Drosophila melanogaster: one gene and its partners. The protein of the gene in region 3 interacts with the protein of the main gene of each other region in a pairwise test. Each region holds a gene or a part of one and is shown on either strand. Other genes may lie near its edges.

Region 1 (3,754 bases), on a different chromosome or scaffold from region 3:
CATGATCGAAGCGAGCAATCAGGGATTTGAGATACGGAACCCGACCCAAGTTGGTAGAGGTCAGGAATCCCTCTAAAGAGCGCACACTTGGCTCCTGACCAAGAAAATCGTAGAAGGTCAGCAGGGGATGCCCTTCGAAGGAGTCGACTGTGTCGTGAGTTTTCTCCAAGTATGCTTGAACGCTCTTGGATATCTGAAATACATTTAAATTGACATAATTATACACTTAACACACTTAAATATAGAGTAAATAATATATTTGCGAATCATTATCTGTTCTGACTTACCAACTCGAAGCCCTCGTTCTCGGTCAATGAATTTGTTTTTATGTCGACGATTAGATTAATCAGGGGCTCCTGGTGCGTTTCAGTGCCGGCCAGCAGTTCCAGCGAGGCGATAGGCACGCATTCCATGAGGAGCAGCGAGTATTGGCCGCGGTCCAGCAGGTATTTCGCCAGTGGCTGGCGGCTAAGGAGATCCGCGTGCTTTCCCAAGCACTCCATGGTGCAAAGGCGACGCAGCAGAGAAGGAATATCTTCGGACTCGTCCATGAAAAAGTATCCCGCACGCGCAAAGAAGTTTCGCAGCACTTCGCTGGGCTGCTGCAGTTCCTCCACGGCGTACTCGTACATGGTGGCATCTATTTTCCACGCGGTGAAGCTCTGTTCCAAGGGAGAAAGCGTTTCCTGGGACACAAAGCCCTCCTCCTGAAGGCGACACCAGCGTTGGAGCTTTGCTTGCTCGTCACTGTCTACCAGGTGCTGCCAGACCATGTCTTTGGACAGGGATCCCAACAGAGATTCATTGCCATTGGCGAAGTACAATTCTACGAGGAGCAACTGCAGTGCCTGCTCTGGTAATGTCATCATGGCTTCTATGTGCACACGGGGCAGCTGTGTTCGATGCTTGGCCACCAAGGCCTCGCACTCCCGGAGTTGCTGCACCAAGGACCAGTGGTAGGCCAGTACTGGCTCTTCCTGCTCGTACATAAGGGGCTCCCGACTGCGCAGGTGATCCAGCACAAACTCACTTAACTCCTCGTCCTGGCACTCGCAGGCGAACTGAAAAAAGAAGCACTTCACATCTCTGTCCACGTTCCGGATCACGTCCTCCGCCTTGCAGACAAGTCTCTCGGAGAGCAGTCGCTGCACATAGGCCTGCACCACGTCGTAGAAGTAGTGGCGGTACTCCGAAACGGGAATCTTTCTCTTCTGCGCCCAGTACTCCATGCACAGGTCGATGTGCTCGCCCTTGGTGGCCACCTCCTTGATGATGGTCACCTCGCTAATGCCCCTCCAGTTCTTGAAGATTTTGTCGCGGGCCTGAGCCTGCGCCTGGGCGGAATGCATCTTGGTGGGCGGAGTTCTTGGAATGTTCTGCGGGCTTTTTCACATCTCTTTGTTGCAATCAACAGTTGATAATAGCGAAAACAGCTGTATGTTCTGCTTCTTCTTCTCCGGAACCTTATCTAGTTCCGAGTGCAAGTACAGTAAGCACTGAAAATAATGACGCACAAATTGTATTAAATGGAGCCACATTTTAACTAAAAATATCTGAAACTTTGTTCAGTCCATTGCTGTCGAGGAACTTTTGTCTCTTACCCTTTTGCCACAACGGGAAGTTTAAGTTTATTATTATTATTAAGTTTATCAATGTCAAAGAGTAAAGTTTTTAAAATATTCAAATCATTTAATGTCATCTACTATAAGATATTCAAAAAAAATTTACTTAAATATTGTGGAATAAATATAGCGATAGAGTAAAAAAATGGCCCCATCCCTTTCTAGCACACGTAATTTCTTTTAAAAGAAAAGTTGCTGATTAAGTTTTTGGAATTTCCGGTGTGAACACGACATCTGATTGGCCAGACCTGCCAACTTGTTCGAGGTGGGTGTAAAACTCCGATGGTATGAGTACCTGCTAGGATTTTAGCAAAGTTCGAACCCAATCCGTGCTCATTCTTGGTTATAATTAGGTTATTTTTTCGATATTTTGAGGTATATTTCTACGATAGATCGGCGGTCACATCGTATTTCCCTCCTTTTCGTTTTCGTTTCCGGCGAAGTAAGTATAATAAAATCTCCACGTTTTTTTTAATGCTAATAATTGAAACATCTCATTGGCAAACTAGCGAATAATCTTGGAATAACCAGTCCGCGAGCAACAAAATGTCGAAGAGAGGTAAAAATCCGAACGAACCGCGCCGCTAAGCGTGCGAAATGTGACGCGCCGGATGTGGAGAGTGTCGAAGTTGTGGTGTGCAAAACTAATAACCCTCTGTTTTTCGGTCTCATCCAGGACGTGGAGGTACCGCGGGAGGCAAGTTCCGCATCTCCCTCGGTTTGCCCGTGGGCGCCGTGATGAACTGTGCCGACAACACCGGAGCCAAGAACCTGTACGTGATCGCCGTCCACGGAATCCGCGGTCGCCTTAACCGTCTGCCCGCCGCTGGTGTCGGCGACATGTTCGTGGCCACCGTGAAGAAGGGAAAGCCCGAGCTCAGGAAGAAGGTGAGTGTGGTGCCCAGTGCTCCGGCTGAATCGGTCATGTGCTAAAAGTGCCCATGGGCTAGCAACCCGCCCAGTGAACACGTTTTTCCACTTTGTTTGTGTGCGTTTTCTTGAATGAAATTCAACTTGTTTCTGTTTCAAAGAAGCCAATTTGAAATTAGTTAGCTCTTATTACATTGGGTTGCTTAAGGTTAATAATCGTATTTTGTGCTACACTATTTGTCATTTGTTTTGAACGGGCAGTTTTAATTTCTATCAATTGCAGAGTATTTCATTGTAAAGTAATACGATAATATAGATAGATTTGTATTAGACGTGGAAGGTTTCTCCTTACGCTTCCAATAAATTTTCCCCACATGTTTTGTGCCGGCTAAGATAGCTTATCGCACCAAACTCACGTTTTTAATATTTTTGTTTATTGATAAGAATTTAAAATTGTAGTGAAGAAGGTTTATAAAACGGTTTCACTGCACTTCTCATAATTCCCCCACCTATAACAACGCACTTTTGCATAACTAACCGATGCAGCAGGAGGTTTGCACACTGCCGAGCAACTTTGCTAACTACTATTTTCATTTGTTTCCAGGTCATGCCTGCCGTGGTTATTCGGCAGCGCAAACCGTTCAGGAGGAGGGACGGGGTGTTTATATACTTTGAGGACAATGCCGGGGTAATAGTAAACAACAAGGGCGAAATGAAGGGCTCGGCCATCACTGGACCGGTGGCCAAGGAATGCGCCGATCTGTGGCCCCGTATTGCATCCAATGCAAGCTCTATAGCCTAAGGAGTTTCCTTTTCAATAAACCCACAACGGAAAACAGATTGTTTTGAATTCGAATTGTTGGTTCTTTTATTGAATTGCTGCACTGCTTCGCTACCGGAGGAGGAGAATGAGGATCGTCTCTAGGCCTTGGGTGCCTCCGTACGTAGAGTGGGCTTGGGTCGTGTCACTTCCATCGATACCTTGCCGTTGGCTCCCTTGAACAAGGCGTAGCACACCTGGAACGGAAGACCCTCCAAGGCATCGCCATTGAATTTGGTGATAATATCGCCGCGCTGCAGTTTGCTGTCTATCTCCGGGTATTGTCCTTGAATCTGTCGAGAAAGTAGTTACTTAGGGTTGAGCCTTCCTACCACTGTATACCAGTGGTGTATGTGCACTCACCAAGTCCGCGATGGTACATCCAATTTCGTTGGGAGAAAGCGACAGGCCCAGCTCCTTGCCTGCTTTTTTCATAAGGTCA
Region 2 (3,754 bases), about 15 Mb from region 3:
ACGGCGAGGGAAATTCGAGGCGGCAGGACTCGAAGGACACAGCGCCAGGCGATGAATAGACATTCCCGAGATAATCAACGGCATTATCTTCTGATTATTATGTGTTCTTGGGGCATTTCAGGGAATTTCGTTATGATGAAACTCGCAAAAAATATCGAACTATATCCGGGATGATCGGCGGATGATGAGGATGCCGGGACACCCGGTTGAGTGGCTGAGTATCCGCTTTCCTTTCTCCTCTCTCGTTTAGTTTTTTTTTTTTTCGCAAATTCTCTGTGAGCTCATCATAATCATCATCAAACCCTCGGTCACTTGAGGTTTAAGCCAACATTAAAAAAGAGCCGAAAAAACACCCAAAGACGAAGGAAATCGCCGAAATGAACGTGAGAACACTGAATGTCCTCGTACCGAAATTTGCTTGGGCTCCTCATTGTTCGTTGAAGTGCTCGAGAGAGATTTGCTAGTTGTGTCCTTATTGTTTGCGGGCGAATGTTCATGAATGAATCAATGAATGCCTGAATGGCTAAACGGCTGAAGTTCACGTCCGCACAAAGTATCCGAGTATCTGAGGGATATTGCCGCGTTTTTAGCTGGAATCCCGGATGCAGTCGAGGCGTGAGAAGGAGGCGATCTCTGCGGCCTTGGCAACAAGTCTATTAGTCCGCCATGGTCCACTTGTTTATGGCTTACGTAACCTGGGTGGCAAAGGATGTGCAGGATCTGCACTGGCAGATGGATTCGTGAAAGGGATGCGCGCCCTGATTTCTGCGAGTTGGGTAAACATTCATCGCATCCGGTGCACCCTTGACCGATTGCGAATGCAAATCGCACATTAGAAGCCATGTGCAACTTTCCGCCCAGCAGTCAAACATTATGCAACCGAAACCGAAGGCCGCCCAGTCCATTGATGGCAAATGACAGGGAAACCCATTCGGGACACGTTTTTATGGAGGTGCGAAATGGCACATTTTTTCGACGAAACCTGCCGCGTCATTGAGTCGTCGTCCTTTTTACACCGGCTATGTGCAACCTGAACAACCTGTGCAAGCCTTGCAATTTGTCACCTGAGGCGACATTCAAACTGCCAACGCATTCCAGCTGGGTTTTTGCCTTTGGCCTACTGGTTCCTTTCATTTGGCCACGATTTGGTGGCAACAGTTTCATGAATCGCAGCCGGAATGCCGACCGTTACGAATATTCATTCATGGCACGGCAGCCACTCTGGGGACCTTAAATGGGGCTTTGACTTTGATCCTACAGTTTCATAAAATATTTATGAAATTTCCGATGAAAATATTTGTGCTCAGTTTGGCAAATCATTTCCTTGTGCGAAACGGATAAAAATTTTCCCAGGCCTCGATGAACTGAAAGTGCAATTTTCATTTATGCAATGGGAAAGGTTTGAGTAGGTTTGACTTTTAAGGATTTGGGGAAACCTCAGGGGAAAGACTTTAGATTCTGCGTAAAAATTAGGGAATTTATTTCTATGAATGGCAATTTTTAAGGGAAAACTCCCCACTTCACCACTCTTATAATAAATAGTCATTGATCAGAGTTGGCTTTGGGTTTGTCTATCAACCAAGTATATTTCAACTTGGCTTTAAAAAGCATGGATAGTTCATGGAGCTCCTTGATTTCCCTAGAACCCCTGGGAGTGACCAACACGCCATTGGACTTGCCTGGACTTGATTCGTGTCCTTCGCCAAAAAGAGCAAGGATTAGTGAATCCCAGCTGGGGGAAGCCATGCCCAGGGAACCAGCTAGTGTCTATGGGGAAAAGGCAGGTGAGAACGGCTATCGGGGACTTTAAGCTTCTCACGGACTTTGAATTATCCACAATCCTAGCAAATTTCCATTCCCTACAAGAGAAGGTGAAAACGTACCAACCTGGCACAGTGGTAGTCCAGCCACCCGAACGACGGCCTCCCGAGCCGGAACACGATCGCCTGATGTTCATTCCCGACCTAGACCAGGACATTACCCATCGGGATGTGTTCACCTATTTCAGCAAATTTGGGGATTTGGAGAGGGTCAGCGTGAGGAATGGCATGAGTAACTTTAACTACGCCATGGTGCGGTTTAGTCGCACTTCATACATGGAGCATGCCATCGAATCGAATCCACATCTGATCAAGGGATACCGATTGAACTGTCGCAAGGCGAAAGAAAAAAGTACAAATAAGGGAAGTCAGCAAAACTCTGGGACCATAAAAAAACCAAAGGCAACGATAACGCAGCCACACAAAGCTCCTGTAAGGCAGGCAGAGAAAAACGACGCCAAACAAAGTGGTCACAAATCTTTAGAGAAGAATTCGAAGCCACCAATTAACAGATCATTGCTTCTTCAAAAACTGGTAGAACCCACGTCCTATAGTCCATTTACCGCCGTAAAATCTGATCGAAACTATGCCTATGCATTAACCAATGACATTGGAATCTCCCGCTGGAGCTTTAACTTGTTGAAATTCGAACCCAGTTCAGACGAGGTGAGGGCCCTGGAAAAGGGTCTTTCCAGTTCGGCAAAGCTCCTACTGAGCATACGGAAGAAACTGGCTGCCGTGCCCCACAAGTCTGTCGAGCCACCAGCTCCAAAGTGGCCACAAACTCCTAGTGATAAAGCCGTTCCAAAAGTTACTCTTAAGATAGCTCCACCAATTCCTGCCTCTAGTCCAGTGCTCCCATCCCTGCCACAAACTCCTAGTGATAAAGCCGTTCCAAAAGTTATTTTTAAAATACCTCCACCACCTCCTGCCTCTAGTCCAGTGCTCCCATCCTTGCCGAGCCTTCTGCCGATCACTCCCCTAGTGCCTAAGCCCAAACCTGTTCTTCGAAAAGTTTCCAAGTCAGATCTCCGCTACGCCGTTCTAGCCAGTTTGGGTCAGAACTATGTCCATCACTGCTACACTAATGTGGCAGCTTATCGGCGGACCAAGAACTACGTCGACCTACAGCTCAGCGAGATGAAAGACCGACCCAGCATTTCGATGTTTGCGGATCAGATGTACGCACAGAAAGAGTAGGAATTACCAAATGCAAATCATATCTATCATATCATATATCATTCAATATAACAATAGTTAAGCAATATTTCCCAAGAAACTTCAAAGAACACTTTCATTATAAGGAAATGGCATACATTACATAAGTCGGACACTTTCTAAATTGAGGGAAGCCGAAGGATGTGACTTAGATTCCTGGAAGATATGAATGGAGCTGCTTGAATGAAACGTGAACATATTACACAAAAAGTTCCAATTCCAATTCAAAGGCACTTGAATCGCAGCAACCTGTCAACATAATTAATCCCCTGGATCAGCTGATGACGGTACTGCCCCTGACCGAATGATACACAAAATATGAACAATTCCTAGAGGGGGCGCGGGAATGCGATAAATGCGATGAAATAGGGGGCCTTGATTTCTGTAGCGCGGCCTCTGTTCTGCCCGACATTCCCAAGGATGTGCCTCCAAAAACCTGGCTTTCTTCTTGCTGGGCCGTGTTAATTGTCCAACATTGTGTGAGCGTGGACGTGAACAGGTCGGGTGCCATTAACAATCTTAACAACGATCCACAGCCACGGCCACGGCGATCCCACGGCTTGTCGCCTTGTTTCTCGAGCAGTTTTTTATGCCATTTACGAAGAAATCTTGCAACAAATCAGGAGCTCCCTTTTCCACAGTAAATACGAGTGTGCGAGAGCGACCTTTATTCGTTTGATGTTAAAAAAATTGTTCTACCTTCTCCCCCCCCCAGC
Region 3 (3,395 bases):
AGACGCGTCTTCTAGAACGAAAATATATTTTTAAGCGAAGAACTTAAATAACCCTTTTTTCCACAGTGCACATTCAGCAGACGAAATGTCACTTAAGCATGTGAATGGCCGGGGTGAATCGGAATCGAGATCCGCGAACGGATTCCTTTCGCTGGGCTAACCAAGTGCGATCTGGGATCAGAGCTCGGTTATGAGATCAGAACAAAAGAGCTCTCACTGCAAACGAGGCCGTTGGAATAAAACCCAAACCCCAGAGCCAAATCACGACGCACAGTCTGGCAAGACGATTGCGGATGGTCGATGGACGATGGTCGATGTTCGATGGTCGGTGAATTATGCGCGACATCATTTTAAATCGTTGTAGCAACGTCAAAGCTAAACACCGATCAGGTCAGCCAAAGAAGCCAAAGCAGCCAAAAAGGAGGGCCTACACAAAAAATAAGTCAGTCAGAATCGGTGGCAGAACCCGACACACAGACGATCCCCAGCCAGATCCCTTGTCCAGAACCATTGTCTTTGGGTAGCAGCCGCCCTAATTGATGCAGCACGGCCATAAATTTCGATCGGCCAACGATCCCCAGCCTGCTCCCCTAGCAGCGGCAGAGGGTCCAAAGATTGCCATGAATACATCAACAAGAAGAGCCCCCTTTTATTTCGCTCAAATCCACATCATTCGCATAGTACCGAAACATCATTGTGCTCTCATGGATTTGCGACTGTGGAACTGCCCAAGGAGAAGGAGTACTCCACTTCGCGATGCTCATCCGGCTTGTAGTACATCCCAAGCTCTCCGATTACCAGCTCACATTTGGCCACCTCGACGGGATTATCCATAAACAATATGGTTTGGCGCACATAGGTGCGAGGTCTCTTGGGACCAGTGGAAAACATGAGCCTAAACTTTCCCCTCGGCCGGCAGAGTCCAATATCTGAATAGAGCACCACGGCTCCAAGTTGACTGTCCCTCAAGCCACGCAGCTTGAATGGAACCCTGAAGCTCTCATCATTTATATGGGCAGTGCAGAGATCGATGGTTTTCAGAAGGTACTTTTCGGTTATCAGCTGCTCCTTGGCAACGTAATCCTCTATCAGGGAAACGGGTTCTCTGACCATATAACTACGACCAGGATAATCCGACTGTGGAAGGATATTCACTTCGACAGTCTTACGCGGATGATCCGCAATTCCGCAGACAAAAAGTTGAGCCACATTGGGTATGATAAAACCACCCTTAACCAGCCACTTTTCTCTGGCAAAGATCACCTCCTTGAAAAGTGAGTCCACGAAAACAGAGTGACTGTGAAATAAATAACTGAAATCTAATTGATTGTAATGTGGCAACTTAGAACTACGTACCCTACCCACTCGGACACTATTATATCGACCTTCTTCAGACCGCAGGGCAAAACTATCTCATGGATATCGCCATCGATAAACTCGAAGATATCCTCCTTCTCAGTGCCGATAAAAGCCTTGCTAACAAATTCAGCACTTTCCCTATTGCCCAGGGCCATAACTTTGACGGCACCCGCTTCCACGCTCATCAAGCTAAGTAATCCACTGCGACAACCCACGTCCAGGACTATCTATTGAAAATCGATCATTTGTATATACATTTCGATAAGTTAACTTATCTTAACCTTATCCTTGAAAAGTCTTTCATAGCGCTTGAAAACCCATTCGTATGCCCTGGTGGAGATTACATCGTTCAACATGCTGTCCGCCATTTCTCTCAGCAGATTCTTCTCCAGATCCATGATTTATATATTATAAGGTATTCAATGTGTCAAACTTTGATAAGCTTCGACTGATTGCTTTAATTGGTATACTCAATACACATGGATATATTCAAAACATAACTTATTTTTTTACTTATATTTATATTTATTTATTTATTATTTATTTATATTAAACTTAACTTGTTAAATTAAATTTGTATAAATTTTAATTTAATTCGACTTGGAAATCGTACCTCATATTATCCTGGTTTCACATTTCACGCCCCAATCAGCCGCCATAAATTCCGAATAGATTATCGCCCGGCATTTCTCACAATTCCCATGCCTTATCGCCATCCAAGTGACACCAATTAGTTATGAGCCAATTGTGGGATCGTACCTTCTTATCAGCGGGAGCAGCGACAGGATACACTGGGCTCCAAAATCCGGGCAAGCGGCTAAGCTGTCTAACGAGTCTCTAATTTATAGGCGACTTGGTGCGCAGTGTCCCGCTCCGTTGACAAATGCCAGCAATTTGATACCCAAACAACAGGAACGAGGAGTAGTAGGATTTGGTCATGGGGTTATACAAATTGAAATGTTTTCTGGGCCTACACTGGCTGGTTGGATGGTTGGCTGACTGGCGAGGATCGGATCGGATCCATCTGGGTGCTGTTTTTGTTAATGCGCCCAGCGGGATGTCCACCGAAATCACCGACGCGGGATGCGAACAAGTGTTGACCGAAAATCAAAGATCGCTGGCTCATTTGTGGCGCTTTTGTGTGCGCTAGATAACCAATATTTTATAATCATGTCCAATAATGGTGTGCATATTAATTTCATGGGCGCATAAAGCAACTTTATGGCCTTTTAAGAACTCCCATTAACAAAGACCAGTCCGTCTGTGCACAAACACAAAACGAGCTGACAAGAGATTTTTTGGGCAACCAAGCTCTCGAGATGCGAGAAGCGAGACAATGCAAATGGCTAAAATAGTAAATAGAGTTATAAACGCATAAAAGGCGTTCATTGTGGGCCCACGGCGTTGGCTTTCACAAATTTATACGACGGCTCATCAATTAATTAGAGCCCGGGGAGGGACACATTTTCACATTCTCCCCTCGGCAATGACCTGGCTTTGAAATTAATTTGTTAGGAAAGTCGTTAACATTTCGTCTGTCCACTTTCTAAGCCCCGCCGCGGATTGATTGTCATAAAAAAATATAAAACCCAACCCTTGGGCAATTGGAGGCCCTAGATTAACGACCCATTTTATGGCAGTTATCAATTCGGTTCAACATTCTTATGTTTTTAAATTTCAAATGAACTTCAGGTTCATCTTGGTGAGGAGAAGCTCTTGAAGCTCTCCACTCGCGTTCTTTCGCCACGGAAGCTGATGTGCAGATCAAAGTTCATGCCACGTCCATCTTGTCCGGTGGGCGTCATGGCCAGCACACCGCGCACCCGATCCCTAATCCTCACATACAGTGGCTCATCCAGATGGAGCACCGTCTGCTCCCAGTGCGTCCATGGCGAATGCGGCGAGGTGGTCAGGCTTACGGATTTGTTCGACTTTCCCGACGGAAACAAGACATCGAAGTACAGGACCAGCATATTGATAATTCCAGTTCGCATGACTTTTAATTGAAAGTTCGATTGAAACTCCACCGGCTGGTT

Evidence for each region.
Region 1: the proteins of Art9 (region 3) and RpL23 interact in a two-hybrid assay, tested with the Drosophila melanogaster proteins (one large-scale study listed by BioGRID).
Region 2: the proteins of Art9 (region 3) and CG14506 interact in a two-hybrid assay, tested with the Drosophila melanogaster proteins (one large-scale study listed by BioGRID).

What each region holds. Positions count from the first base shown.
Region 1 is NT_033778.4:22,852,349-22,856,102, forward strand, and holds RpL23 (ribosomal protein L23), read left to right. Parts: upstream 1-2,034; 5' UTR 2,035-2,064; intron 2,065-2,131; 5' UTR 2,132-2,168; coding exon 2,169-2,181; intron 2,182-2,298; coding exon 2,299-2,510; intron 2,511-3,096; coding exon 3,097-3,294; 3' UTR 3,295-3,346; downstream 3,347-3,754. Other genes in the region: CG13531 (uncharacterized protein), read right to left, coding at 1-193, 288-1,349; inaD (inactivation no afterpotential D), read right to left, coding at 3,414-3,605, 3,676-3,754.
Region 2 is NT_033777.3:29,295,085-29,298,838, reverse strand, and holds the start of CG14506 (uncharacterized protein), read left to right. Parts: upstream 1-1,658; 5' UTR 1,659-1,744; coding exon 1,745-1,784; intron 1,785-1,845; coding exon 1,846-3,020; 3' UTR 3,021-3,678; intron 3,679-3,753; 3' UTR 3,754-3,754.
Region 3 is NT_033777.3:13,941,646-13,945,040, forward strand, and holds Art9 (arginine methyltransferase 9), read right to left. Parts: upstream 1,816-3,395; 5' UTR 1,758-1,815; coding exon 1,641-1,757; intron 1,587-1,640; coding exon 1,357-1,586; intron 1,298-1,356; coding exon 703-1,297; 3' UTR 593-702; downstream 1-592. Other genes in the region: Art6 (arginine methyltransferase 6), read right to left, coding at 3,054-3,395.